Linked DNA regions of Arabidopsis thaliana. The protein of the gene in region 1 interacts with the protein of each later gene in a pairwise test. Each region holds a gene or a part of one and is shown on either strand. Other genes may lie near its edges. The genes, in order: GAMMA-H2AX and AT4G25400.

Region 1 (16,964 bases):
ACTTATATGAAACTTTTTGTATTTTTTTAATGTTTCTTAGATAATAATTTATAAACTGTAGGTATTTTAGATTGACTTATTTGATCTATATACTTTTGTAATATATAGCAAAAATATTTGCTTTTATCAAAAAAGAAAAGGAAAAAATGCAAATGATATGAACTGGATATTCTATGAGTAGTTAATCCATGGATATAATCTTTTAATTTAAACCGTAATTATCATGTTGATTATGAGAACTAAACAAAACATTCTCAACACATGCACACACATATATATTTTTAGTAAATACTAAATATCATTTTGATTAACAGATCTAAGCTTGTCTTTCATAACTTTTTTCAATTAAAATAAAACTCATGCAACCTCCGGTTCCTTTTCAGGCGCTAATCTAACCATGTCGATTCATATTAAAACTGTAAGGAATATTGATCACGTCGAAAAGAACATCGTTTTCTTTCTTCATCGGAGATATTTGTTTATTGTCGCCGTTGAATCCCATTTCGCAAATGCTTGGTGCTTCTTTTGCTTTCTGCAAATGAACCGAAACTTTAAACAGATCTCTCACTTTAATGTACTTCAAAGCTGAGGTTAACGCGTCATAGCCTTCAGAATAAAGCTTAAGGCACTTTTGCAACAACTTCTTACTCAGCCTGCCCTTATATTTTCTCTCGTTGAAAATCTTCTCCACAATTCTTTTCACGTTTGTTAGGTTTGATAAAGCGTTATTCGTTCCTACCAATGTTAAATCATTGCTATTCCTTGCTTTCTGACTTTCCGCATTCTCTTCGAGAGATGCAATGCAAAACTTATAGAAATATCGTTCCGCGTACTTTGAACTTTGATTGCAATATTTCTGAACCAGAGAGTTTTCCACTCTGTTGGCCGTCAAACCATTGAAAAGAAGAACAAACACAACGAGGTAAATCAAGAACTTCATTGTTTCTTTTTTTCTTTGGAAGCAAAACATTAGAGGTAATAGATTGAATAGTTATAGTAACATGTGATCCTATTTATAAGCAACACAGAAGTCTTCTAACATGAGAGTGTTATTCAAACAAATGCTTTTTTTAGATGACTCATGTCATGCATTACCACTCCGCTTACTTCGTTGCCTTCTTTTGTGGTCAATCTTCATTGCCTAAAAAGAATCATTACTCTAGACATTTCGATGATATCTCTAATTTCGTTTGATTCATAGCAAAAATATTTTTTTTAAACTTGCATAGCAAAAGAAGTGAGGTAAGAAAAAAAATGTTTATGCCCCTTCCCCTGAATTTTGGAATCTTCGGACAACAAAACTTCTAGATTATAAAGAAACAAAAAAATGTCAAGCACTCAAATCTTTCATTAGATCATCAACCATATTATATTATTTAAAACTTATGTTTGAATACCAGAAAGTACTAATATTTTAAAGGTGAAAGTAAAATGTTTCAGACGAAAGTAAATATTAAAATACAAGCCTTGTAATAATTATCCGAAAATAGCATAAAATCTCAACGGACACAATTGCTCTCTAGCTAACCAAACAATAAGAAGATAGTGGTTTGGGTTTTGGTTTTTTTCGTTTTTGCTAATGTAGTAAAGGATTTTCTACTTGGCCTTTTCCAACAAGAGCTCCTCAATGAGTGCAGCTGCTTGCTCAACTGTGGCGATAGACTGTGCTTTCTCCTCCGCCATTTCAATCCCAAACTCTTCCTCTAATCCCATAACTATCTCCACCTGGAACCCCGACACACGAAGCATGAGTACGTCCATAACAATATAACAAGAATCATGAGTATGTGTATCTCAGTAACATGTTTAGAGATGTGTGTATAAGGAGAAGCAGCGATCCTTCACAAGACTTGCAATCTAAACATTCGACAATATGAGCTTGAAAGCAGGATACAAGTTTAAAGAGGCATTGATTATGCATCAATAAGTCCAATGAACAATCCCATTTCAAAAGTTGAATCCAATTATTAGACATGAGAAAGTAGTTACCGTATCAAGGGAATCAGCACCAAGTGCAGCAAATTTGGTGGCAGCGGTAATTTCGTCAGCCTCTTTGAGTGAGAGTTGCTTTCTGACAACTGCACACACCTTGTCCACTGTCTCAGGTTTTGCCTGTTTATCAACAATCAACAATGGTGAATGATGAATTGGCTCGAGAGATCAAAAGTAAAATAGAAACAACATCATATGAGAGAAGAGACAAGGTCTTACAGCGCAGTAAACAGTCAAGCGGGTAGGAAGCTGGCGAAGATTAAAAGAAAGATTGCTTCTGCTTCCATAGCTAAAGCTTTTAACTTGTTTAGCCCCAATCACCTGCCATCATATTCGAATATAACTTTCCATCAGTACAAAACTAAACTCCAAATGCAAAGCAATATATTTGCACTGAAACAAACCAAAAGAAGGAAACAAAAGCAACTAAAATCTATGTAACCCGCATGCTCTTACCAAGAGTTCGAATCTATTCAAATTCAGATATAAAACAAATCCAATTCGAAGAGGAATAGGATAATTTTTCCGGTGATTCGACCGAGTTAAGTAAAATAGGTTCAACAGAGCCTAAAATTCCAGAAAACGAAAACTAACTTACCTCAATGCAAAAAAATTACAGGACAAAAAATGAATTACAGAGCAATTTCAACAGATCAATATAGAGATGAGAAAACGATTCTGCGAATTAGATCTACAGTTGAAGAAGAAGAAGAACAACTAGGTCGAGATGAATCAGATCAGATCTATAGCAAAATGGGAGAAATCACGACAAAAATTCAGTAAGAAAAAGATGAGAGATTCGAGGGAAGAAGAGAAAAGAGAGACCAGTTGACGAGGACGAGCTTGGAGAGAAGTAGAAGCAGAAGTAGCAATGGAAGCCATAGAAGAATGAATCGTAGAGAGATCGGAGTGAGATCGGAGGAGGCGGAGAAGACAAAGAGATGTGAGACACAGTGAAGAATCCAAGTGGGAGACTTATTTTTAATTTTATAGTATTTTAACCTAAACAAAAAAAAAAAAAAAACTTTTCTGAGATTCCAATGAGAGAATTCAGACAGACAAGTCAGGTGAGGTGGGTGATTTGGCAGATGCAGGTAGAGAAATAACAAATTCGGAAAAAAAATCCAAACATATTGTTTTTTTTCTTAAAGCGAAATAAAACAATTAGTCAATTACGATAGTTTACTGGAATTATAATAAACAACCTTCTTAACTTTTTTTTTATGAAAAACACACGATAAATCATAAACGTAAGAAAAATTAACATGTTATTTCTATACCTTAAAACAAATTAATGCATCTTTCATATTTTTTACCAAATTTTTACAACTATTTTGTAGGGAATTTTCTACTAATTTCCTACCAAATATGAATAGTAAAAATTTGATAGTAAATTTCTTTTACCAATTTTTTTTGTAATGATAGGATTAATATGTTCCAAACAAATGCTAGATGTTAAGCTAACGGTGATTCACCGCTATAAATGCTAAGCGAACGGTGATCCATCGCCTATTGCCTAAAACATCTAACCGAGATATAGAGGATTTTTGGCTTAAGCGTTTAAATCAAAAAATTTAAAATATCTATTAGAATCTGTTATTTCTGTTTTCATGTGTCTGATTATGCACAATAGTGGAATGCTTTTTTATTGTTCGATATATCATTTATTTATACGAAACAACACAAATTAACTTTTTTATATATAGGATCATATTTATAGTCTTTACTCAGTAATTAATTGTTAAAATACATAAACTTATACAGTTTATTTTTTCAAATTGAATGAAATAACCATAAGATATTTGTTGCATACTTAATTAGAACCAATCTATAATCTCCTTAATCTTGACATAACTAGAAACGATTGTCATATATACTCATACATCTAAACCCTTTCAAAGAACCACCAATTGGAACTTCAGTGAACTCCTCTCGCCTCTCGTTATACACTATAACCTTGTCTTCTCTTCTTCCATTACCTTTCACCACTAGGAAGAGTTCTTCGTTTCTTGCTATGCACGCAAAACCAACATCAAAATTTCCGTTTCTATCTAAGCACGCTAAACCAACATTTAAAATGTTGAACGCTTTAACATTTTCCTTCCACGGGTCGATATTCCAATGCATGATCTCCTTGCCTTTTCTATGCGGACGCCATAGACAAATGTCATTATTTAGACTTGGGTAATGATCGATAACACATAGCTCTCCTCTTAAAACCCCTAACCATGAACTGTATTTCGACTCCGTGTGCATAGGAGATAATAGCTCTTGGTACTCTTCCTTGGCGAAATCGAAACAGAGGATGGTGTTTTTCCTACGGGGGTTTTTGGTGTGAGACCTGTCTGCTATCCACAACCGTACCGGTCCGGTCTATGAATTTGCGATGAAGAGAAGTATCTGGTACACTTTCTCTCCAACAGCTTTCTTTGAAAGCATAGATATAGGTTTTGAAACCAATTTTCGTTACAATCTTGTAATCATTAGAAATCCGGTCATAACCAAATCCCAATAGATTTGTGGTTTGGCCCGGTATAACCATTGGTATTCTCTTGAATTCCTCCGAACCTGGTTTCCAAATCGCTAGGTCATTGTTTTCTTTGAGGGTCAGACACATCATTCCACGACAATGAAGAATACAGACAGGTTCGGTTTCGGCCGGTAATGTAAAGGGCAAGTCTAGCTTCAACAACGTGGTTTCGTTGAGGTTTAGACGGTATAAACCATCTTTGTGTAATGAAATGAGATGTGATGATTGTTGATTCGACATAGGAAAATTGATCAAAACAGATATATTTTGGTGAAAATCAAGAAAAAAAAAGGATATTGATTGCTTATTTTATATAGAGCTTATGACTATGAACAACAATTCATTTTATAGATTGCTTATTTATTAATATTGAGAGCGTGCTTACATGTTTAACTAATTGTTTAGTTATTAGTTATTACTTCTAAATTGTTTATAGATTTGGAAATCTGTATATATCAAATAAAATTTATTATACTGCCACATAAGCAAATACAATCTTTAAAATCAGCCTCATCATTAAAAGAACAATTTTTTTTGTTGAACATATCATCATTAAAATAACTATATAATTGATTTCTTACTTTTTTCTTCAGTCAATATAATTATTTACTTGATTTGCTTCATTTGTTTGTTTATTGAAATTATCAATAATATCTTAGTTTTACCTAAAGTTTGGAAATAGATTTTTGAGTTTAAAAAATATACTTTTTATGATTTTTCTCTTATCAAATATCTCAATTTCTTTGATATAGTTTTACAAATTTGATTCGTGACCAGGGATGGGTGAATTTGAAGGTATGGTTCGGATTTGTTCATCTAAACTTTAAAGATTATAATTAACTTACTCTTAGCTCAAAAGTCACACGTTTGTCAATAACAGAGTGTGCTCAAGGACGTCTATCATCAAGCACATTAGTTCAACATTAGCGTATCTTGAGAACAAAAATTCCAATATCTTCAAACCAACATGAAGTTCATGAACATTGTGAATTGCTTGAAGAAGAGAGATCATGAAACTCAAAGATTGTTTCGCAAGAAAAATCTTACACTAAAAAAAACGAATTTAGTTTTGATCTGCAATGATTTGACGACTAGAGTCTTATGAATATGGTTTTGAATATATGAACAAGTGAGGTTACAATTAGAGAACAAAGAACGTGAACTTAGTATGAGAGGATCAGTGTAAAGATAATCCAAACACTAGACTCTGCAATCTTCTTCACAGATAGAGCATTGCGTTTCAACTTAATTAGAGAAGGGCTTTTGGAACTTCCCATGAACCCAAACTCGGTACATGTCCTTACCCTTTCTCCGGTTTACTGCTTTGACACAACAATATTCAAGCTCAACCTATACACGAGAATCAAAATATCATAAGATTTGTTATTCATTCAATCACAACAAAGAATAGAAAAACTGAAAAAAGAAAGTTTACCTCAATGAATCCAGCATCAGTAAATAGTTTCCTGGCAGTGTCGAGACAAAAGAAATAGGAAAGGGTTCCATCAGACCGCACATATTCCCTAAATCCTACACGTTTCTCTGGCTCAAACCGTAGCATAGTCATGTCATATAATCCTGTCAAGGTGTTTAGCCTATTAGTTTCTCTTTATTTGTAAACATATGTGATACAGCTCTTAATAGTGACCTTACCATAATCTCTAAATAAGAGCAGACCACCAGGTTTCAGCACAGCAAAGCATTCCTTGATAGCTCTCGGCATTCTTTCTTTAGGCACTGCCGACAATGTAAATATCTGACATAACATAAAAAGTTGGAATAACAACCGTTTCGATTAGAAATGTTCACATAGCAGAGCATATAACACATCTGTAAAAAGCCTAATAGCTAAGAATCAGATCATAGAAGATTAGAAACATAAATTTCAGTTTCACATCTATCTTATAACCACATTATAAAAACCATGAGATCAACTACTCTAGTTCCACTGCAGAATATCTGACATTACTGTTTCCTACAGTGAGCATTGTTATTCCTCTTAACTAAATGAGCGATGTTCACATACCAGAGTGACAAAATCCACCCCACCGATGCAATGTTTGCTCTCACTCCCTCCTATTAATGAAGATATACAAGATTAGCTAGGACGTGTATGAGAGAACAATGTGTATGGATAAATTGCTACAGAGAGACCAAAACCTGAGTGGTTAAGCATAAACTTGTCTCGACAACGATCACATGCCACCCAATCTGGAAACTCAGAAGTCGAAAAGTCACAACAAAAAGAATGAAAGTTATCAACCGAAGAAATAGCGCGATCAATGTTCTCTTTAGTCCTAACAAGAGCGTCACTGCTACAATCACAAGCATACACAGTAATGTTCTTGCTTCCACTACACAAAAACAAAGATAAAACACATAAAGGTTAACTCCAAAAAGCTAAATCGGAAGAATAATACGGCGAAGATCGAAAGAATTATACCGTAAAATCGGAAGCACGGTACTGCCATTACCACAACCAATTTCCAAAAGTTTTGAGTTCTCTCCACAAGAAACTAATTCAGGAAATTCCTTCAACAGATACCTTCTTTCCTACACGAAAACCAGCCAGCCAAGACGAAGAAATGTAGGACCCCGAAATCCAGATTTAAAAACACTCAATTTCTCATTCAAAATAACTTCAATTTTTACATCTAATAAGGCTCATTACGAAGGAATCCAAAGACTCCATGATCCGGTCATTCCGGTGATGAACTTCACCGGAAAACCGGAAAGTTGGCCGGAGCCACTTGTTTAAAATGTTCCAACAATAACATCATTCTTACCCAAATCCTAAGATTAATCAATCTCTCTACATCTCAAAAAATTCAGAAGCAAATTTTTACTACTAATTCAAACTTTTCTTCGATTGTAAATGATAAGAGCTGATTACAAGATATGGAGTAGTGATGTGTGTGTAGTACCTTGAAGAATTTTCCGGAGGAGTGACGGGAGTGAAAATCTTGCCATGGCTGCGAATCTGGTAAATATTTGGAGAGATTTTGGTGGTGGTGGTGGAGATGGTGGGAGAGAGAAGGATCGTTCTCGACGATGTTCTTGAGAAATTCCCATTCGAAATCTTTGGAATGATACTCTCCTGCTTCTTCTCTTTTCTCCATTGTTTGTTCAATGCCTGCAAGTATTTTCTCTTTTGAGAAGTACGGACCGGGAAAAACCATACTAAACCGAATATTTTTTAGAAAACCAGTATATACGGTTTGATTGAACGATTTATTAGGGTTTTGGCTTTTGGGTGTTCAATTCTGATTCGGTTTCGTTTGATATGGTTTTTCAATTTTGGTTTTTCATTTTTCCGGTTCATGTATATATGGTTTGGTTTCTTCGGATCGATTTTAGTCGTTTGATATAGATTAAAATCTTCATTAATTGCACATTTATATAATGTTACTTATAATGAAAAAAATTAAATAAAACATGAATTAAGTAAAATAAATGAAAATTTAAGTTCGTATTGTACCGCATCACAAAATTAACATCTCCAAATAACAAAAAGAGATACCCTAAGGAGTGAAGTCAAATTGTTTAAGCGCTGGATGTTTTCAAGTTGAATTCTAGGTGGTCTAATATGATATACCCAATAAATTCAAACTATAGAAATCAAACCATGCTTATTATTGAAAATAAAACTAACACATATTTATTCAACATGTACACATTAGAAACACAGCTATACATATATTAATCTTCGTCATATTGAAGATTAGAAACACACACAAAAATTAAAAAAACGCACAGTGTGATATTAGAAAACGGCTAATATCCATCCACACAACATAAAACGGAGAAACTAAAAAACAACTTGCACTGTCGTATAGTTCTGCTCAAATAGATATTCTGTTAAGGAATAAAGAAACCACGTGATGTTTCATCAACTCAGGATGTGTAAAAATGTCAGTGTCTTTGTACAAAACCTTGACGACCCTCGAGAGGTTTAGGAATCGCATGACGATAGGGAAAGCAAAAGAGTGATCTCTCGTCATCAGTTCTTGATTAAGACTCTTCCATGAATCCAATGCCATGATTTTGATCTCTTCTTCGGCTTTTTCCCATGAAATACCATATTGCTTCATGTAACAATCAATGGATGTTCCTACGTGCTTTCTCTTATGTTCAAACTGCATTAGATAGATCTCAGATTTTAAAATTATCTTTACACCAACGTGGTGACAAAAATTGTATTTGTATGTAGAGTGTCAACTACAGCTTAAGTTCTTAGGTCTGATATTATAATTCGAATTCTACAAGAAATTGGATCTCAATCTCTCTTGGAATGTCCAACGTCAAATATCATGTTCTTTTTCTAATGTAGTAATGTGTGTCATTTTCTTTTGTAACATGTTGCTTTCTCATAGTACATGTTATATACTACGATCACATGCTATTCCTTCCGAAAGCATGGAGACAAAATTTTACACATGACATTGTTTTTTTCTTTCAGTATGACATGTTTTTTTTTAAATGACATTGATTTCTTTCTCATTCTTTCGGATATCTCTCTTTCACTGACAAAACTCCTGTCTTAATTTTTTTCTCCTTTCAGATTTTGTGTTATTATTATTTGTTTCATGTTTTTCCCCAAACTACATATGCTACTGAATTTTTGTCTTTTGTTTGTGGAAATCTATAAATTTTCTCCTATCTTTCCTAAATTTTCTGATTCATGGCTACTCTGGTCAAAATCTAGTTAATAATATAATCTTTTAGAAGCAATATCTTTGTCATTTAGGATCCGATAGGTCAAACTAGACTGGTTATTAACTTATTGGCATCACTACAATAATGTGAGTTAATTACCTCGCAACTAGCAATGTCACCACAGAGACGGCCTATTAGTGCAGAAGTCACAAGAAGGGGTGGGAAAGTGCTTAACCATTCAAACACATCAAGGGTGCCTTCATCCACCATCCCTAGAAAGGATCCTGTTAACAGAGCTAAGTAGCTCGATGAATAAACTCCGTTCTCTTTGTACTCGTCAAATGTTGCCACAAAGTCTTCACTCAACCATTTTGCCTCTTGAAGATAGGCTTTAGCAGTTACAATCATCTGATTTATTAACATATAACCAACAAATTTTTCATTTAGATTCAACACACATGAACATAGACTTAGTACTTAATTACTAATTAGTTTTGTGCTTTTGAAGTAGTTGTGTATATAAGTATTTAGTAATACCGATTTTTTAGCGAAAAGGCCGCATCCTGACCTTCCTTCCCTCTCCATATCCTCCTCAAGTTTTCCGTAGAAATCTAACACCACATGATGAAGATACCTCATGCTCTCCGGGAGCCCTTCTATGCCGCTAGGATTCCACATAATCAATGAAATGGTTCGAGTTCCTCAATCGTGCCAAATGCATCGTACGTATCATCAACAAGAGTCAATAAGATAACAACAATGGCCAATCTAATCCTTGCTTGAGAATATCGGGGCTCAAAGTATGCTCCAACAGCCCACAAGTAGCTTTCGACAGTCCTATTCCTTGCATATGGTACTTTCAAGTCGAGCTCTAGATTTGAGTACCACCTACAAAAAAAGAAGAATCGACAATCATTATGGTAGTCTCTCCATATATAAGAGTTTTAAAATGTATATATAATCTATCTTGCTAGCTCATAATGGCACCTGAAGACTTGGCAAAGCTCTTTGCGGTGCAAAATTTGCAGAAGATTGAAATCTATCTTAGCAAATTCTAGCAAGGTTTGGTCGTGCAGATCTTCTTCTTCATAGTATGAGATATATTGTCGTGTCTCTATCCTTGATATACCCCTAGGGTATGCATGTTTGAGGGCATTTTTAATGCGGATGGACATAGGTGGACTAGATTGATCAGCCAGTCCTTCCAAATGAGACCTAGAGAAAGCAAGAGCTTCATCGAGAATGTCTTCACCATGGGTGCTCCAATGTGCAGCTTCATAAAGGCATAAAAGACCTCTTGCATCCTCAGCTAGGTGCTCCTTGAACTTTCCATCCTTATTCTTGAAGTTGTTAAACACATCTTACACATATAATTTTTTGTTAGTAATCAAGTTTAATAATTAACATTGACTTGGTAGATTTACTAATCATTATGCACAGAGAGTACAAAGTGAGTATACCTTGCGCTTCCACAGTATTAATATGATCGAATTAGGTGAAGTTGAAAAAGAAGAAAAAATACGCTCGCTATACTTATGTCAGTTTTCACATTAACCAAAATGTAATATAGTTCTTAGACCAAAAACAAAATACTACTAACAATTAGCAACATTCTCTTTCATGACTTTTTCTTAGTAATATCAATTCAAATTTTTTTTAACCCAAAAAATATGGAAACATAAATAAGAAACTTATTCATACTGATAAATTAATTAACATATTACGCTCGATAATTCTAACATTAGAGTGACTTACCGACACCAAGTTTATAGCCAAATTGTCTAAAAATTTGGAAGACGAGGGAGACGGTGTATAAATCGAACTCATTGCCTCTTATCATCTGCATAAAACCATGACACCAAACATCGTCTCTAACTGCGTGAAGATGTCTACTTCAAAGTGGTAGGAAACACCAAGGCGACAAAGAGCATCAATGAATTTGATGTTCTCTATCGGCTCTTCTTTTGAAGCCATTAACAATCCTCTTACGGTTTCCTTTAGTGAACTCAGCTTCTCTTCGTTTATCTCACTCTCCTATATACATCAAAATAATGGCACGAGAGAAGACATCATAATATAGAGTATATTCATAGTGTTTTGTGAACAAATTTGCCTAATTGTGACTTCAAGTCGTGTGGGTACGTACCGGATCCAAAACAGAAAAAGAGATCAAGGGATCTTCCCATATATTCACCGGAAAATCCGCTAATGGCCGATATATTTCTTCAGTCGTAAGCGCTGACAAAGTATTTATCAGCTCCTGCATGCTTAAGTTCTTTTTCTGAATAAAAGTGTATCTATAATCACACTTCAAGGTTTTCTAAAGCTTTGGTAAAACTGTGGCTGCACTTGATACATATAGAGGCCATATATAGGGAGATGAGCCTCCCTCTCTTCTTTTGGTGTTTCTTTTTTTAGTAACCTTTATCTTAATTTTGTTTATTTCTATGGTATTTTCTTTTAGGCGTGTAAAAATGAGTCATTGATTGGGACTCTTAGCCGACACGATAGATATGAACACATTGGCCATTTTACTTTTCTAGTACTCCCTCTGTTTTAATATATTTCTAGTTTAAAGGTGTTTTTTTTTGTTACAAAATAAATGTTGCTTTTATATTTTTTTATGCAAAAATTAAATATATTTAATAGTTTTAACTAATTATATTTAATAGTATATTTTCGAATTAATTTTATTTGATAATATTTTATAAAAAATAGATATATTAAAGAAGGTTTTTATGTTTTTTCTTTTAATTTGTATGAAAAATCTTTAAACTATAAATCAAATAAAATTGAGGGAATAATAGACAAGTGACAGATTTTCTTCGGTTACTAAAAGAGCAAAATCAATTCATTTTAATATTTTGACGAAAACAAAACAAAAAAAAAAATCATTTTAATATTTTATGTCCATCAGCCCGTTGAATTAGGCTTAAATGGCGGCGACACATTAAAGCTTCTTTAATTGCGCCACTAATATGATATGCGCCACTAATATGATATCCCCTACCTCATATCAATCATTGTAAGTGTCATTATAGTTTCTTACATATATTAACATAACAATTAAAAAGAAAGGGTTGCCTTCCATGCCAAGCCAGCACATGGACCGAATTGTTACTCGCTACAGTGAGGTGACTGGTGAGATGGGAACAAGTTGCCATGATGTATGCAGGTAAGTGAGGGATGAACGCCTGTCTGTGTTGCTGCATGCCTGCATGTGCTATTTGTTTGTTTCCAAGGTGGTGTGATCTGCCCCCGAGGAATGTCTAGGAGAAGGGTTTTCTGCTGTGATTGCTGAAGGCAAATAATAATCAAGAGTCGAGGAACAAAATTTGTTTCAAATAAAGTGGAAAGAAATTCATATTTGAAACTCCTTCGTTTTTTAAACAGTTCAACATTTGATGTAGATTTTAAAAATGTAAATTCTATTTAATAGGCTGTTCTTTTTTTTATATAATATGTGAAATCTATAAAAATTAAATAACTATTTGAAAAAAGCTTTTAAATTGATTATAATTTTGTAGTGGGTTAAAATCTAGAATGTCAATAAAAATATAATAAAAAAACCGAATTAAAAATCACTAATAAAAGCCTTCGAATTCATAATCCCAATGCTTTTTTAATCTTTTTCTTCTACACAATTTCCAGAAGATGATTACTAATTAGAACGAAATATAAAATACAAAATTTGTCCAAAAACTTGGAGATGCGGGGGATCGAACCCCGTGCCTCTCGCATGCAAAGCGAGCGCTCTACCATTTGAGCTACATCCCCAGTTGTTGAGTTACAATGCTTCACGTTTTATAAATTCGAATATCTAAACCAACATGAACTCTTCTTATCTCCAAGCGAGCCGCGTCATGGTGCTCGGATCTAAATCTCCGGTAGACCGCCGCCGGAAATCACTTGAAAGAGTGGATAAAGAACTCTTAAGAGGCAATTACGAAACTGCTCTCTCACTCGTCAAACAACTCAAGAGCAAACATGGCTGCTTATCTGCTTTTGGCTCTGCTAAATTGGTTTCTCTCGCATCTCTCTCTTAATGCTTATTTGCCAATAAATCATCTCTAATTCCTTTTTTTTTTTAATTAGCTTCCGAAGAAATTAGACATGAGTAGCAAAACTGATCTCAGGTCGTTGATTGATTCTGTCTCCAGAAGTATTGAATCTGTTTATGTCCAAGAGGTACTTTCAATTTTTGCAGTGTTTTACCAATAAACACATGTAATTTCATGTACCTTAATTTTTTTTATTTTTTTTGTAGGATTCAGTGAGAACATCCAAAGAGATGGAAATTAAAACTTCACCTGAAGAAGATTGGTTCTCTGTTGTTCAGGTGAAGATCTCTTAGTTGTCAAATAAAACTAGAACTTAACATTGTTGCAAAGTGAAATTTTATCACAAATGTTGTTTGGTAATGAGACCAAATCAAATAGAACTTTTTGTGGTGTACCTTTATGGGCAAATATATATAAATTGATTTTCTGCGACGTCTGCAGCATGAATCAGGGCATTTTCTTGTTGGTTACTTGCTTGGAGTTCTCCCAAGACACTATGAAATACCAACTTTGGAAGCTGTTAGGCAGAATGTGTCGAATGTGACCGGGAGAGTAGAATTTGTGGGGTTTGAATTCCTCAAACAAGTAAGTAGTTTGCTCAACAAATGGTCAGCTTTGTGTATGTTCCCAACCACAAGAGTTTTATGTTATCACCGCAGGTCGGTGCTGCAAACCAGCTTATGAAAGATGATGTCGACGGCCAAATGAACCAAGGCAATATCTCATCCAAGGTAAGATTTCCTCAAATGGACCTGTAATGAGTGTTTTTCTTTAGCTCAAGCTGTTTCTGTAATGATTGGTCAAATCTGTGAATGCAGACACTGAACAACTTTTCATGTGTGATACTTGGAGGAATGGTAACAGAACATATACTATTCGGATACTCAGAAGGGCTATACTCAGATATTGTCAAGGTAATACAAACTCAAGTCTCCTTCCACTCATAGTCATGAGACTATAATCTTCTAATGTATTTTTTGAGATTTGAGTGTTGCAGTTGAACGATGTTCTGCGGTGGCTCGGCTTCACAGAATCAGAAAAGGAGGCTCATATCAAATGGGCTGTTTCCAACACTGTCTCATTATTACATTCTCACAAAGAAGCAAGAGTCTCACTTGCAGAAACCATGGCTAAAGCCAAACCTATTAGCACTTGTATTGAAGCCATTGAATCCGCTATTTCAACACATCAAATTTAACTATTTCACTTCTTCAAACCGAATTCATTACTGGATTTGCAAACACAGTTTTTGAGTAACATGAAAATACCAAAACTATTGTGGAACAGAGAGCCATGTCTATGTTACAAGCTAAAAAATAAAATTAAAACTCTTGAGAAGCAGATCCGATATCGCCTTTGTTCTTTCCAACCTTTGATGGGAGAAGAGTCTGATGAATGTTGGGCAAAACTCCTCCATTAGCAATTGTTACACTTCCAAGAAGTTTACTAAGCTCTTCATCGTTCCTCACTGCAAGCTGAATGTGCCGTGGTACGATACGTGTCTTCTTGTTATCTCTTGCTGCATTTCCAGCTAGCTCCAATACCTAATGATTATATCAACATCATATAAGAGATCAGACTCTAGAAGACACCTTAACATCAAATCAAAATCAAAGATTCGGTAAACATCGAAAAATCTAGTGATATATCAATTACGAGTGATTCTCATCATAGAGACTAAAAGACTAAATACCAAACAGAAGATTGTTTGTTACCTCAGCGGCGAGGTATTCGAGAACGGCGGAGAGATAAACGGGAGCACCGGCACCAACACGTTCGGCGTATTTACCGGCTTTAAGGAATCTAGCGATTCTTCCAACGGGAAATTGAAGACCAGCTTTAGAAGATCGAGAGACGGACTTTGTAGCTTTTGGCTTTCCTCTGCCACCTTTAGTTGTTCCACTGCCGGCGCCGGAACTCATTTTTTGTTTATCGGGAAATTTGAAGAGGCGATTGTAAAATGTGATTAGAGATGGCTGAGGATTTTGTGAGTGGAGTGATTTAGGGTTTAGGTTGTGATTTCTGAAATATATAGCGTTGAGATAATGGATTTTGATTGGTTAGTTGTGAGTCACGCGGATTGCCAGCGTGGCACCATTGTAAGTTCTCGCGGGTTTTTTTTTCCGCCTCTTTTTAACAAGTCGGTGAATTTTTTAAGACGATTACTATTTGTGTTAAAATTCGGTTTAGAAAAAATGCACCAAAACTATAATTCGGTTCGGTTTGAAAAAAAATTAACATCCAATGTTGAACCGAAATTAGCTCAATTTGTTGGGTCATGAGATAAATTTCAATCAAATGGTAGTGAAGGATAAGCCCAATAACAAATAACACAAACAGCTTTAACATGGGCCAACTAAAAAGTGACTGTCAAGCATAATGGTGGTGATGATGATAGATTGATAGTGGTGTAGTATGACAGATTGATAGTTATTAAATTAATTAAGATAATTATATGTATATATTCTTTGTACATTTCTGCATGTTTTTATAAAGTCAAACTTAAAAAGTCAAAACACTTATGTCAAAAAAAAAAAAGAGTGAACAACTAAAACTCAAACTTTGACCACATGTTACAACTAATGAATTTATTGACAAATAATTATAGCATACATGGAATGGTTGCGACTTATGCAAGGTCGATATGTTTTGTATACAAGGGTGTTTATCTTCATCAAAATAATAACAGTACAAAGAAAATTATTCTATTCTTAGCTAGTATTGATGAAGGAGACAAGATAGGGTTTTGTTTACTCTCTACAGTCGATGAAGAATGCGATGATGCGAAAGTATCTTAAGATGAAGAAGATCATGACCGGTGTTGTAGTGACTGAGGTCAATCAGCATGCACTTGGTAACCAGTTTGTGAAGAAGAATGACGTCATTCTCGAGATTGATGGTATGACCGTAGAAGATGATGGCAAAGTTTTCTATGAAAACAGGTTGTGGATGCACTTAAATGGTTTCATTGCTTTGAACATGTGAATATTCGGTCCCTTAATCCTTTGATAGCCTCTACAAAATTTTGATCTTTATAGTCAAGGTAAACCAACAACGTTGATTGTGAAATTCAAGTGGTAAAACCGTTAAAAACAACATCGAGACCTTGATTTAGATTATAACCATTCATGGGAAACATTTTGGGTTTAAGTGACATGAAAAAAGATTGCTTTAGACTATGTGTTACTTTGTTATGATTTTTGGAAGTTTTAAATATCCACTAAAATCTATTAAATGAGAACTTATTTCACAATTAAATGATAATATTTAATATTAAGGTCTGATTAGAGAATGTGAAAGAGTTGAGTTGACGCGATTAAGAAAATTCGGTGTTGTATTCTTAACCCTGCAGAGAAACATGAGATTATAACACTGCAATGCAACAAAATATACAATGCCTTTACTCAATTAGTAAAAACCCAAACGAAATAAATCTTTATTTCTATTTTTTGCCTGCTTTTTTCCTTTTTTTCTCTTTTTTTTTTGATGAATGAATAGAGAGAGTTACACGAAAAAAAAAGATTACAAAGAAACAGTCCATGGAAATCGAGAGACTGTTGATAATGAACATTACATTTACAAGCATTTACAGAAACAGATGATAAAAGAAATTGATTTTAAATGTTATTTTTTCAGGGTATTAAAGATCATCAGTGAGTAAAAGTTGCAGCAAACGGGATTAGTATGTGACCCCTTCTCCATTAGAGCTTTCTTTGGCCATAGTT
Region 2 (13,703 bases), on another chromosome or scaffold:
GTAGTTAAGTGGTCAAGTGATCATCATTCTTCTAACTATAACCTTATTATGTAGACAGGAAACAAACCGATGACCTTATTCGTCTAAGCTCATAAGATTATAATATACATAAAACGCATTTGAAATCACGAATCCAATTTGTAGTTAATCCAAGCATATGTATAAACAAGCGTTTTAATGATTTGTTGTGATATTATGGATTTCATGTTCACAAGTTTTTGCAGTGTGATACAGAGCCGATACGTTTTGTTTAGGGTTTGATCAGTGAGTCGTGACAATAAAGTTTTGACAAAGTTCAGTTTTGTTTCTAGCTTGTGAATTTTTGGTTAATTTAATTGACCATTGAAATGGAAAGATGGCTTGCTTGTTTTGAATCTCTCTTCAGTTCAGGGTGTTTTGTTTAGCTAAAAGAACTTATATTATTACTGGTACAAAGAATTTAACAACATCAAAATCTTAGCCAAGGAATCTAAACATCTACGACACATATCACTAAAACCTCTGCAACTTGTCAGCTCTGATCAAAGGCAACTGTGTGGCCAAGGCGAGCCGTCCAGATTGTTTGTAATCAAAGGGACAAGAATGCTCCTCCGGATAACGATGTGACCCGCAAAACATGTGTCCACATCTACACTTGAATCCCAACATTCCTACCTTCCTCTTACATATCCCACATCTCCTTTTTTTGACCGGTTCTTCTTCAACGGCGGGACTATTCGTAGGAGGGCAACACTGTGATTGCTCGGTCTCGGGTTCGAATCTTAAAGCGGGCGAGTGTTGAAGAACACTCTTTTTGTAGCAGAGAGAGCATAGATTGTTGTTCACTCGGGTGCCGTAGAGTCCACAGCCTCCCTCGCATGGTAATGCTTCTGTTTCGTTCACCATCTTCTTTCTTCTACTTCTTGCGATAGTTGTTATATGAGAGTCAATATAATTCAATATTTTGTGTGAGCTCTATCAATGACTCTAAAATCTAAATATATAGAGGATGTCTATTGTTCTTAGTTCTTCTGGAATTGTGTAGTGCAATTAAGTTTCCCTTTTTTAATACAATTCGGTAAGTGTTTCCTCTTTTGTAATAGTCATCTACGTTCGATAAGTGTTTGCTAACGATTCTTATTGCAAGTTATTGATTTTCCTTTCCTCATATAACTAAGAAAGGAAAAGTTACAATAGAAACGCTGAGAGATATTTCATAATAAGGAAACTGAGAAGACGTGTTTAATCCTCTTCGAACAGTCATAAATCCAATAAAGAAAAACGTTGACTAATGTAAGAAAAAAAAGACAAACCAAATAAATAACTAATCCAACTTGATGATAATTTAGACAACAGCAGCTTCCTGGTAGTTTCTAAAACGTCGGTTCGTTTTCTAAATACAGAAAAGAGTTGCGTGCCGTTTTCACTATCTTAAGGAGTAATTAATTAGTTTCAAGTAAAATACCAAATTAGACAATTCCACATGGTGATCTTTGATGGCCTCCCCACCACCGCACGTGAATTTGGAATACCTTGTTTAGTTTCATTATCAAATTACACCTAAACGCGTTACTAATTAAATTATTTATTGTCTATCAAAAAGCCACGCAACAACAGTCTAGCATTTAAATCTTCACGTGGGTCTAACCCGGTTCCGGTTTCATTATCCGGGTATATGTTTTGGCTTCGTCTGAATTTGAATTTGAGTTTTCTCATTCAAAAAACGATAAATAAATAAAATATTGGTCAGTTATTCTTTCTATGGTTCTTGTTTGATATAGAAAGAATAACAGGTTTTGGATTTGTCTGTGTGTTTGGACTTTGGATTAGTATTCATTCGGTTTAACCAATCAAAATTCGCAACCTTAACACGTTATAAACCATGATGTAATGATTTAATCAATGATCAATTAAATGTATAGAAATTTATTTTCCATTTCCGCAACAGCTCAAAACGTTTTCTCTCTTTTCCGATTTTAGTCTAAAAACTGAAACAAACACAAAAAGCAACAATTTGTCTTTGAAAATCTCCTCTGTGTATGGTTCAGCTTCGGTTTACTAAATCTCTATGCCGTCACGATCAATCTCGGCACCGGTTCCGGTTCTTGCTCCGGCTCCGATCGTTTCCTCTTTAGTCCCAGCAGCGCCGTCAGGACATCAGAATAAGACAACGCGAATCTTTCCACCGTTCGTGGTGGCTGGAGCCGGCGCCGGTTTCTCTCTTTTCATCACTCTCTCCGTCTGTTTCTGTAAATTCAGCCGGAAACGTTCATCACCTCCGGCGGAAAACGCTTCCTCTTCGCCTCGGAGACCGTCGCCACGTGAGTTTTCATATTCGTCTCTCCGTCGCGCCACCGGTTCTTTCTCGCAGGCGAATAGACTAGGTCAGGGCGGATTTGGCGTCGTGTTTCGTGGAACTATCTCCGGCGGCGAGAATGTAGCTGTTAAAGTAATGGATTCAGGATCTCTTCAAGGAGAAGGTGAGTTTCAGAACGAGTTGTTCTTCGCCGCCAAGCTTGACTCGCCTCACGTTGTCCCTGTTATTGGTTTCTCTCATGATCGAAAACGACGACGTTTGCTTCTTGTTTACAAGCTTATGGACAATGGTAATCTCCAAGACGCCTTGCTTCACCGGAGATGCCCTGAGCTTATGGATTGGAATCGGAGGTTTTTGGTTGCCGTTAACATTGCCGATGGGATTAAGCATCTTCATAGTCTTGAACCACCTGTGATTCATGGTGATATTAAGCCTAGCAATGTTCTATTAGATAGTCTCTTCTCTGCCAAAATCGCTGATTTTGGTTTGGCTAGGTTGAAAGCAGAGCAAGTGGAGATTAGTGTAGCTCCGGAGCGTGATGGTGATGGATCTATGGTTGAAGAAGTAGAGAGTGTGGTAACTACTGTGACTGGTTATGAAGATTTTAACTTTGGGTTGGTTGATCAGTCTCCGGAGAGTGTTGCTAAGGTTCCTGGGTCTGTGAGTGCTTCTCCTGAGGCGACGACGGTTGTCTCTGTTTCTCCGGAAATGGGAGAGAAAACGGATGAGGATGGTGGTAGTGTTGTGGTGATGAAGAAGGGGAAAGAGAGTGAGAGCAAAGATTGGTGGTGGAAGCAGGAGAGCAATGTTGAAAGAGGGAGAGTGAAAGAGTATGTAATGCAATGGATTGGTTCAGAGGTAAAGAAGGAGAGACCAAGCAGAAGTGATTGGATTGAGGCGGCAGCTTTGTCTTCTTCGTCAAGTAAGAAACTTGAGAAGAAGACTAGCAAGAGACTAGATTGGTGGTTGTCATTGGAGGAAGAGGATGAGAATAAGAAGAAGAAGAAGCGGAGGATGGTTAGAGAGTGGTGGAAAGATGAGTATCGTAGAGAACTCGCTAAGAAAAGGAAGAAGAAGAAGAAGATGACTTTAGAAGCCGAGTTTTGTAGTGATGATGGGAGTAGTAGTGTGAGTCAATGGCGGCGTGGTAGTGGTAGTGGTAGCAGCATAGATTGGTGGTTAGATGGGTTAAGTGGTGAACGATGGTTGAGAGCAAGGGGAAATAGCCATGACTCGGTGAGCGGTGAGATAGCTAAGAGCTGCGGAATTAGTAGCACGCCGAGCATGAGAGGGACTGTGTGCTATGCAGCTCCTGAGTACTGTAACTTGGACAACAACGTGTCAGAGAAATGTGATGTCTATAGCTACGGTGTTCTGTTGTTAGTTCTGATTTCCGGGAGGCGCCCGTTGGAGATGACGGGCTCCGCGAGTGAGATACAACGGGCAAACCTCATGTCTTGGGCGAGGAAGTTGGCGAGAAGAGGAAAACTTGTTGATCTTGTGGATCAAAAGTTGCAAAACTTAGACCAAGAACAAGCAGTGTTGTGCATAAAGGTGGCTTTGTTGTGTCTGCAAAGATTACCGATTTCACGACCGTCAATGAAAGAGGTCTTGGGAATGCTTAAAGGAGAAGTGAATCTACCAGAGTTGCCTAGTGAGTTCTCACCATCGCCACCATTAAAGACAACGAGGAAGCAGCGCCGTTGACTAATTTAGGAATCATTTTGATTATTATTATTCAAGTGTTACACCGCTAGTTTTAGGAACTTTGATTCAATTTCACTATACTTTCCAATTTCTCTTTCTATAGTTTCACACGCATTATTGACATTGATTTTTTTTTTACACGTTTATACTTCGATGTCAATATGTCATACAACACTTCTTCAAATCGGAGTTGCTCGGGATTGGATTATTAGCAGAAAGAAAAGGCTAAAACTTTTTCCACCTCCAAAAGTCATTTAAAGGTCACACAAATCCTATGGGCCTAATCAGTTAACAAACCACTTCCAATCGAGTTAAATGAAATGAAGATACCAAATTGGGTCACGTTAGGAGTCAGCAGTTTGTGTTCTTTATATATGGACATGGGCCATCTTCGATTTTTCTTATTCGTTTCTACTTAAAATCACCAAGATTTATTGAATTTTTCTTCTTATTATTATTTGGCCCTTATATAGAGTATGGTCTATCCATAATTTGGCCCAGTTTTTTAAAAATACTAGATATTTGGAACATGCATGCTTTTTATTTTTAAATGTATCAGATTCAGATGAAACTCAATTATTAAAAAAAAAATCATACATAAACAGTTTAAAATATTTACTACTACTTAATTATTTTCGGATTAAGAAATCCCTTATAACATTTCATAAAACATAGTATTCTGCATTTTTTCAAAAAGTTGTTGTAATGTTTAGAAAACAAATTGAAAATGCAACAGTTTTTAATGAATAAATGCAAGGCGTTATAGAATGTTGGTTTGTTTTTCATTTTAAGTGTTTTTCAATATTTTAAATAATAACAACAACAAAAATCATTTGCTTTCGACTAGAAACAATGACTTATATCATTGCTTATACGAGTGCATGTTACAATCGTATGTGGCGGTTAGTCATCCTACTTGGCTCGATCGATGGTGTATTTGCTGAGGAAAGGGCTTTGTGTTCTGATTAAATTTGAGTTTTGATGGTAGTATGGCTTGAGTAAAGGTTGAGGATGTTGTTTCATTTTCATATGTCTGGCTCTTTCACCTCTTTGGTGGGTATGTGTTGTATCAAACAATCGTCTCTTAATACAATACCAGTTGACAAAAAAAGAGCAGTAACTAATTCTTATAAACTATAGTACATTATTTCCTATATATTTTATAACATAAAATAAATCATATTTTCTCATAATTTAAAGTGCTATTCAATGATTTTTAGGAATACGATCCAGCATATGGCCTTGCAGTCTATAGTATATATAAAAATAATTATATGGTACCTATGTCAGAGATATCTAGGATATATAGTAGATCGTCGTACAATTGATATATCATATAGTATGTGTATACAATAAGAAAATAAACATATAAATTGTACGATCTCTAAAGAATACTTTAAAAATGATAAATATTAAGATATGGAATGTTGAAGGGAACCTATTAAAAAGAGAAGAAATTAATGATGAAGCAGAAAGACGTCATTGCTTACCCTAACAAACCTCTCTCTCCATCTTTTTCCGATACGTCTACCAATAACTTAGTATTTTTTTCTCTTAGTTTTTAATATTATAACCAAACCCTTTTACTATCTTTTTTCCGACTCCCATATCTTTTTTTTTTCCGACTCCCATATTATTCAACTTTACAACAAATCCCTGACTAGAGCAAATCCCAGAGCACAAGATCAGATCCTTCTGTCTCATCATCATCATCATTATTATAATCATAATTACAAGAAGAATCGTTGTTCAAAATAATTAACGTATAACGACTTCTAGATGAATAATTTTCAGGAGAAGAAAAGAAGGCGTAGTAAAACGCCGAGAGTTTGTAATAACGAAGAAAACATGGAGAAGTTAGTACATAAAGAAATTGAGAAACGAAGGAGACAAGAAATGGCTTCTCTCTACGCGTCTCTCCGCTCTCTTCTCCCTTTAGAGTTCATCCAGGTCAAAACCCTAATTACTCTTGCTTTTAATTTCTTCCTCTTCTTCTTCTTTTTTTTTTGTTAAGGAAAAAGTCCACAAGTATGCTTTGTCGCTTAGTTTGTTAAAAAGATTCACTAGAACTCTAACACTCTATCATCACAATATCTCAAGTTGACCTCTACACCTTAATTACGTTTGATTTGGTTTTGTAGGGAAAACGTTCAACGTCAGATCAGGTGAAAGGGGCAGTGAATTACATAGACTATTTGCAAAGGAATATCAAAGACATAAATTCCAAGAGAGATGACCTCGTGTTATTGTCTGGACGAAGCTTTAGGAGTAGTAATGAACAAGAATGGAATGAGATTTCGAATCATGTCGTGATTCGTCCGTGTTTGGTCGGCATAGAGATAGTGTTGAGCATTCTCCAAACGCCATTCTCAAGCGTTCTGCAAGTGCTTCGTGAACACGGTCTCTATGTTCTTGGCTACATCTGTTCCAGTGTAAATGATAGACTCATTCATACTCTACAGGCTGAGGTACAATATCTCGAGCTTACTAACTTTACAGCAATCGAAGCATTACTAACTTTACTAAGAATATAGAGAAATACTTAATCATAACATATATTTCTAACTAACTTTACTAAGAATATAGAGAAATACTTAATCATAACATATATTTCTAACTTTGTTAATGTTTTCGATCTTGTCGGCTTACAAACGCGTTTATGTCCTAATTTGGAATGGAATATAGAATATAGCATACATCTTCTTCATAGCTTTTTGGAATGGCTTATTGTATCAGAGTAATGAATATATATGTTTGAGTTAATATGTGAAGTTGATTTGCCTTATGTTGAGTTAATATGTGAAGTTGATTTGCCTTATGTTGCAGGTCAACGATCTGGCTTTGATCGACTTAGCAGACCTTAAGGATACACTTACCCTGATGAAGTAATTCAAATAATCAAACGTTTTTTTTCAGTAGATTCCTTTTAACTTCTCAAACCAAAACGATGTATATATATGGTTCTTAGTACTTTTACTGTGTATTTATCTAGCTACTTTAAAGAATTTGTGCGTAAGAAACTAATGCTAGCTAGCTTTAATATCACAACCATCTCTTACATATTATATAAACTATGGTCCATCTAAACTTTTTCTTTATCATTGATGTTTTGACTATCTTGTTTATTCACAGAAAAAAATCTTCATTTTGAAAATTTGATTAAATATCTTATGAAAACAAATTATCTTTCAAGAAAATATATTAGTTTACTCTATCTTTTGTTCATTAGGGACAATGACTATTATTTTGAGGATTACCGCATGAGGCCTTCTTATTTCTAGACGTCTCTGCTCCTATATATAAGTCATATAACATTCTTATCTGAAGATGTACGTAATCTGTCGAGTTAGGATATAATTAAGAGAATGGTGGAATTTAATTCGTACACATAGAATTAATGGTATAATTAATTTACTATTGTTGGTGTGAGTAGCATCAAATAGATGATAGAATAGTATTTTGAACAAAAATTCTGATAGATAGTATAAGCCTTCAAACTAAAATTGTTTCCGGACGAATACACGAAAAGAAAAATGAAATAATATTAACTTTCTAAAAACTCATCGATTGATGGGTATACACAAAATGGTTAAAAAGAAAAAAAAATGATTAACAGATTTTGAGATTATATAATACTGAAAATTTGAGTCGGAAATTGATTTGCAATATGCAAAAGACAAGAAACATGAGGCAAAGGAAAAACCATTTTTCAGAGAAATCTAAACATGTGAAATTCGTTTTTCTAAAAGTAACAATTTGCGAATTTATCAGCGACGGATATTTTTTAAAAATAATATGTAATGTTTCTGTTAGAAAGTACTTTTGGTTGACAAAAAGAACTGTTACAAACTTACTTTGTTGTGTACGCACTGTTACAAAATTATCAAATTTGAATCTTGAAAATGGTTAATTAGGGTTGTGTGATACGCACTCCAGATCTGTAATCACAAATTAGCTAATGACTATAAAGTCGATGCAAAAAGTAAAACATAGGGAATGTATATTATATGCCGCTTAGTTGAAAACCGCTACATATCTATGATCGATTTAAATATTTGAACTCTGGAACTGTTGACTTTTCTCTTAGACTTAAATTTTGGTAAACAATTTCAGCAACTAAAATGAGTGAGAAAACTTGGTTGTTGAAAAAAAAAGAGAGAGTGAGAAAACTTTGGTTTAGTTTTCTACAGTGACCAGCTTTGGGGTTTTGGGCGGAATTAATTAGCCAAGTAGGGTCTAGAAAATGTGATCTTTTAACACATGGCCAAAGTCGTTTATATTTGGTGATTCTGTTTAAAACTCACAATTTGTTTTTTTCTTTTCTTAAATTTTGAAATCATATCTATTTAGAACTAAAGTTCATCATAAATTTTGATGACCCTAATAAATAATATAGCGTCAATATAGAGAACTTAGCTGGAGATATATTGTAAATATGTTGTTGTAACGATCTATTACGAATAACTATTGAAATACAATACAATTATTTAAAAGAGCAATATATAATTGTATAATTTACCACATCATTAGGATACTTCGCCCCAAACACATATTTTAATTCGTTTGAACGAACTTAAATAAAAAAAATAAAAAAAATCATTGGTTAAAACTTTTTATTGCAGAAATAATTGGTTGTTACTGTAGAAATAGCGGCTTCTATTCGCAACCGTCAGATATACAAGTCTAAAGAGATGTCTTTAGTTTAGTCGTGACTCCTACAAGGCATGTGTGTACGATCGCCTGATAGGGAATAATTTAACTTTGCATAATCCATATTTTCCGACAATCATCGAGTTGACATGATTCGACATTTGGTCATACACGTAAATATAACAACGTGCTTCTAATTTTAATTTTATAAGATTAAAACTATCAGATAGTACTTTTTGGGATATAGGAAAAATGCATCTCATGTAATAAAACTATAGCAGAAACGTGTCTTAAAAATAATTTACATAATAAATAGTTAACTTGTTTTATCATGACTATAATATGCAAACATTATTGCGGTTGTACGCATGTAATAATATTACTGTATATAAACTGTTATATACCAGCTCTTATAACTTTAAAACTCTATCCATTTTCTTAACGTAATGTATAGTATAAGTGAATGAAATTTTTCTCTTTTTACAAATTTATCTGGTTTATAAAAGTTGCTAATATCAGGCATAATATGGCTTATGGCGTATATTGAGCATATCAGCATACAACACACATCCCTAAAGAAAAGACTTTGGTCAAACATCCAACGAGATTATCTTTTATAGTATAGTGGCTCTTAATATGCGTATATACATATATATAAAAAACAAGGGATTCGTGACAGAGAAGAAGGATTTGCTTTGCCTTGAAAGGATAACCTTTACCAAAAGGATTATTTTTTAATAATGGAAACTGTGGAGGGATGTCATGGTTTTTATATTCAAAGCATATTATATTGAAATAGTATCTTCTTAAGAACAGTATATCTTTAGCATTATATATCTGATACGCAATGGATATGGACGTTTAATAAACATGTGAAAAGACTAGTTGCAGTGTGAGCAGGTGCAAATAAAAAGAAAGGATCGGAGCCCACATGCGACCATCGCAACATCATCAACGGTTGAGATTTGAGGTTTTGTTTTCATGTATCCGAATCTTAAGACATGGTTGCACTTTCACGTCGACATTTGTCAAATAGTTATATTCTCCAGTTCCTCCTAGTTGTATGAGAATATAATTTTGTTTTAGAGAAAATGTGCATTATGGTTTTTTTTTTTTTCCAACAGTTTGCGTTTTAGATACTAATTCTGTATTTCATGGAAAGAGATGGATTCGCAATGGTATTTCACATAAAGGAAATTTTGTGTTGGATGATGGTATGACAAAAGCTGTTTGGAGGGTATAAATTATTAAGTTGACATTAATTTCAAAAATTTATAATTATGTGTTTTAATTCTCTTAATTAAATAAACTGTAGAGGATTTTATTTTGTTATGTATATATATTGACTATAAGTTGTATTCTACTAGTTTGTTACAAATCAAGCCCGAGGCTCATCCCATAAATGAAATAAAAAAAAACTGATAACTATTTCAATTTTATTTAAAAAAAAAAAAAGAGTAATTCCGTAACCTGCATTATTTGGTCCTCCTACTGTGTATCTATTTAATATTTAAATAATGGTCCTCCCTCTCACCTAAGGAGACATAGAGAACCATCTGGTTCTTTAAGGCACCATCATTCAACAAGTAAACAATAAAGGAAATTAAATTATCACAAGACAGAACCACAAAATCCTTTGGAGATCTGACACTGGTAAAGCTCAAAGTGTCAAACTATGGATCCTTATAAGAATCTTAATCCAAAAGGTTACCAGAGACAGAGACCGTTTAGCTCAGCCGGCGAGAGTGGCGGCAGCGGCGGCTCCGGTACGGCCCATGAAACAGATGACAATAAGAAGAAGAAGAAGCTTCTCCACCGCGACATCGAACGCCAAAGAAGACAAGAAATGGCTACACTCTTTGCTACTCTTCGTACTCACTTACCTCTTAAATACATCAAGGTTCATATTCTTAATTACTCACTCTTTTCTCTCAAATTTATTTACTTTTTCGTTATATCAATTGTTCGAAGAAACCAAGATTTGGTGAGATTTGGCTGCTAGGGTTGTGAATATGTCGTTTTTTGTATTTAATTTAGTTTTGTATTTAATCTTTATTTATAGGGAAAAAGAGCTGTGTCGGATCATGTAAATGGAGCGGTAAATTTCATTAAGGACACGGAAGCACGGATTAAAGAACTTAGTGCAAGAAGAGACGAGTTAAGTAGAGAAACCGGCCAAGGATATAAATCGAATCCGGATCCAGGAAAAACTGGATCCGATGTAGGCAAATCGGAGCCGGCGACTGTGATGGTGCAACCACACGTGAGCGGTTTAGAAGTGGTAGTGAGCAGCAACTCCTCAGGCCCCGAAGCTTTGCCACTATCAAAAGTGCTCGAGACAATTCAGGAGAAAGGGCTTGAAGTCATGAGCTCCTTCACTACAAGAGTCAATGATAGGCTCATGCACACTATTCAAGTAGAGGTATGGTTGGTTACAACATGTCAACATGCCATGTCAATGGAAGTTAATCTAGGGTTTCATTACATTTAACTATATTCAATACAGGTTAATAGTTTCGGATGCATAGACTTATTATGGTTGCAGCAGAAGCTAGTTGAGGATTTGATACTTTCGACGGGGTACTAATCATGCAGAAACATACCATTCGTAGTCCTAAAGAACTTCCTCATCGTATGATCTCTTTTACCCGAGCTCTTCATTCGTTATATGAGCTTAGCTAAATAGAAACTCATTTCCAAATTATTGTCCTTTTTAGATGTGGTATTGAAGCCTTGCATGTTAGTGGATATAAAACAGTATTTTTTGTAGATATCATATGTTTGTTGCTCCAATTATTGTTTTCTTGTTCATGAACTTATATATACTTAGAAGTTAAGAACTAATGTGAAAGTCATATATAATTATAAACACTAGAATTTCACATGGTTCTAGTTCATATATCAATGGAAGACTAATATTAGCAATGTTCGATATGGTGTATTTTTGTTCATGTGTTTTACAACATTATAACTATGGTTGATGTTCTAATGAACTAATCTCACCGTATACTTGATGCAGAAAAAATCAAAGTCTTCTTGAAATTTCGTTATGAGAGCAAGGTGCATAGGTGTTAAAGTTCATTCATGGATTGAGGTGTAGCTTTGGTTTAAACAAGTTCAAGTGACTTCATGGGGTAGATCATAACTTCACCATGATTCGCCGCCGTAAAGACCAAGGGTCTGATGTTTTCAGTAGAGATTTTTTTTTTCTCACGGGCAAGCCATTTTTTTGTTTCCCTTTCATTATAACATTTTGTATCACTCCATTGTTAGGTTTTCTTGGGTTTTCTCGTATGGAAAATAAGTTTTTCTGTAATACATATCCATGAATCATTTAGACCTGTATTAGAAGGAAAATCCGGAAGGGCATAGTAAAATAAAGGCCAATACAATAGCATAATATATATATATCGCCTAGTTCTAACCAGATAAGTATGAAGCAAGGGTAGGTGAGAACCATCTTTTGGGCTCTATAATAGTCAGAATCTGCTAGGTTGTTTCTAGCCTACTATTCTCTACGCTATCAGTACCACATTGGTGAATTAGATTTCGATATTTTATGTGAATTGTTCACACATAAAACTGCGAAAATTGAGAAGTAACATAACTGTTATCTCTACGATATATATCAAAGATGAGAGACTATATATGAAGTAGTAGCACTAACCTCGATACAACCAATCCTTTGGGCGATTCGAAAGTGGTAAAATAGAAGTTCCAAATAACTAACAGATGGTAATACTAACCAGTAACCACACAATAAAAGATCGTTTGAATGTACGTGCATGAGTTGATAACCCTAACACAAATAAACATACATACAAATGCCATCACTATTTTGAAATTTTAAATAACTATTTAATTCATAAGCACAAGGCCTCACATCATCAAATGAGTAAATGACATAGCAAATGTGAAGTCAGACAAATTATTTATACAAGATTATGATATTTAATTACGATATTTTTTTCGGAAATAAGAAGCATATTACAAAATTGCCATAGATAAAAGCCTAAGATTCAATGCAGAGAACCACCTTTCTATTTTTAAATCTTGAATTTGCAAAATCTCACTTTCTTTTGTAGTTCACGATACGACACAGTATTATACATATCCCCAGAATCTTGGTTTCTTTTCTTTTCATACGTACCCATAAGCATATGAACAGATCGACCACATATTATTTAATAAAATCTCATTACTTTAGATCTAAATAGTCACTTTAATTAATACATGTCACGAACTTAAGCGAAGTTGACAGTAGTTCAAATGTTTTAAGAGATACGCATGATGAGTGGTTAAGATCTCACTAATATTCGTTTGATATCTTATATCATTATTGGTAATTTAATTAATTATCAACTAGGAGTCTTATTTTTTAATTTAAATGTGTGGTTGTTAAAAAATGTTTTTTTAAATCAAAACTTGAGATGCCGTCCAACAAATTCATGATCTTCAAATCGGATAGTGTTCCGATAAAGAAAATCCCAGACGATATATTAATGAGAATTAATAATATTTAAACCCATATTATTTCCAACTAGTTAACAACCAAACTAATAAATAACAACAATATTGAAAATAGAAACATTAACTCCATCTCATATCAGTTGAAAATATAAACTACATGACTCGAAGTGTTTTGATGGCATTAAGAAATGTTCAGTACATTAATTTCAAAAAGGGGATTACGTTATTTCTTTTTATTTCTTTTTTTGTCTTTTTCTAACAACATTTCACAAAAAGAGAATAACAATAAGAAGCCATAAAAAGGAAACCTTTATATTTTCTTCAGTTGGCTAATTTCGTCGATAATGTTTGTACACGGATCTAGTAATTAAACCAAAAATAAATAAAAATTCCACTGCAATAATTAGAGAGCAAGACATTAATATGTGTACATCTTTCCTACTTCTTACGTATAAGTATAGACCAAAACTTATTTTATTTGTGTGCATGTCCTGTGGTGTTTACTGTTTAATTTAAGCCCACTATTATATGACAGTGATTTGTAGCCAAACATATCCTCATGCACACGTTCACAATCATG

What was found.
Region 2: the proteins of GAMMA-H2AX (region 1) and AT4G25400 interact in a two-hybrid assay, tested with the Arabidopsis thaliana proteins (one large-scale study listed by BioGRID).

What each region holds. Positions count from the first base shown.
Region 1 is NC_003070.9:20,400,046-20,417,009, forward strand, and holds GAMMA-H2AX (gamma histone variant H2AX), read right to left. Parts: upstream 15,243-16,964; 5' UTR 15,162-15,242; coding exon 14,955-15,161; intron 14,784-14,954; coding exon 14,562-14,783; 3' UTR 14,438-14,561; downstream 1-14,437. Other genes in the region: AT1G54620 (Plant invertase/pectin methylesterase inhibitor superfamily protein), read right to left, coding at 392-970; ACP3 (acyl carrier protein 3), read right to left, coding at 1,597-1,725, 1,990-2,112, 2,212-2,313, 2,818-2,874; AT1G54640 (F-box family protein-like protein), read right to left, coding at 3,847-4,135, 4,314-4,762; AT1G54650 (Methyltransferase family protein), read right to left, coding at 5,768-5,872, 5,958-6,100, 6,176-6,278, 6,549-6,598, 6,683-6,876, 6,966-7,075, 7,447-7,701; AT1G54680 (translation initiation factor 3 subunit I), read left to right, coding at 13,009-13,200, 13,274-13,366, 13,446-13,517, 13,681-13,824, 13,899-13,970, 14,058-14,153, 14,237-14,437; AT1G54700 (uncharacterized protein), read left to right, coding at 15,858-16,037. UniProt on the Arabidopsis thaliana protein: Variant histone H2A which replaces conventional H2A in a subset of nucleosomes. Nucleosomes wrap and compact DNA into chromatin, limiting DNA accessibility to the cellular machineries which require DNA as a template.
Region 2 is NC_003075.7:12,975,444-12,989,146, forward strand, and holds AT4G25400 (basic helix-loop-helix (bHLH) DNA-binding superfamily protein), read left to right. Parts: upstream 1-5,593; 5' UTR 5,594-5,782; coding exon 5,783-5,953; intron 5,954-6,144; coding exon 6,145-6,537; 3' UTR 6,538-6,793; downstream 6,794-13,703. Other genes in the region: SAP10 (stress-associated protein 10), read right to left, coding at 493-885; AT4G25390 (Protein kinase superfamily protein), read left to right, coding at 2,048-4,003; AT4G25410 (basic helix-loop-helix (bHLH) DNA-binding superfamily protein), read left to right, coding at 10,329-10,553, 10,716-11,075, 11,160-11,240.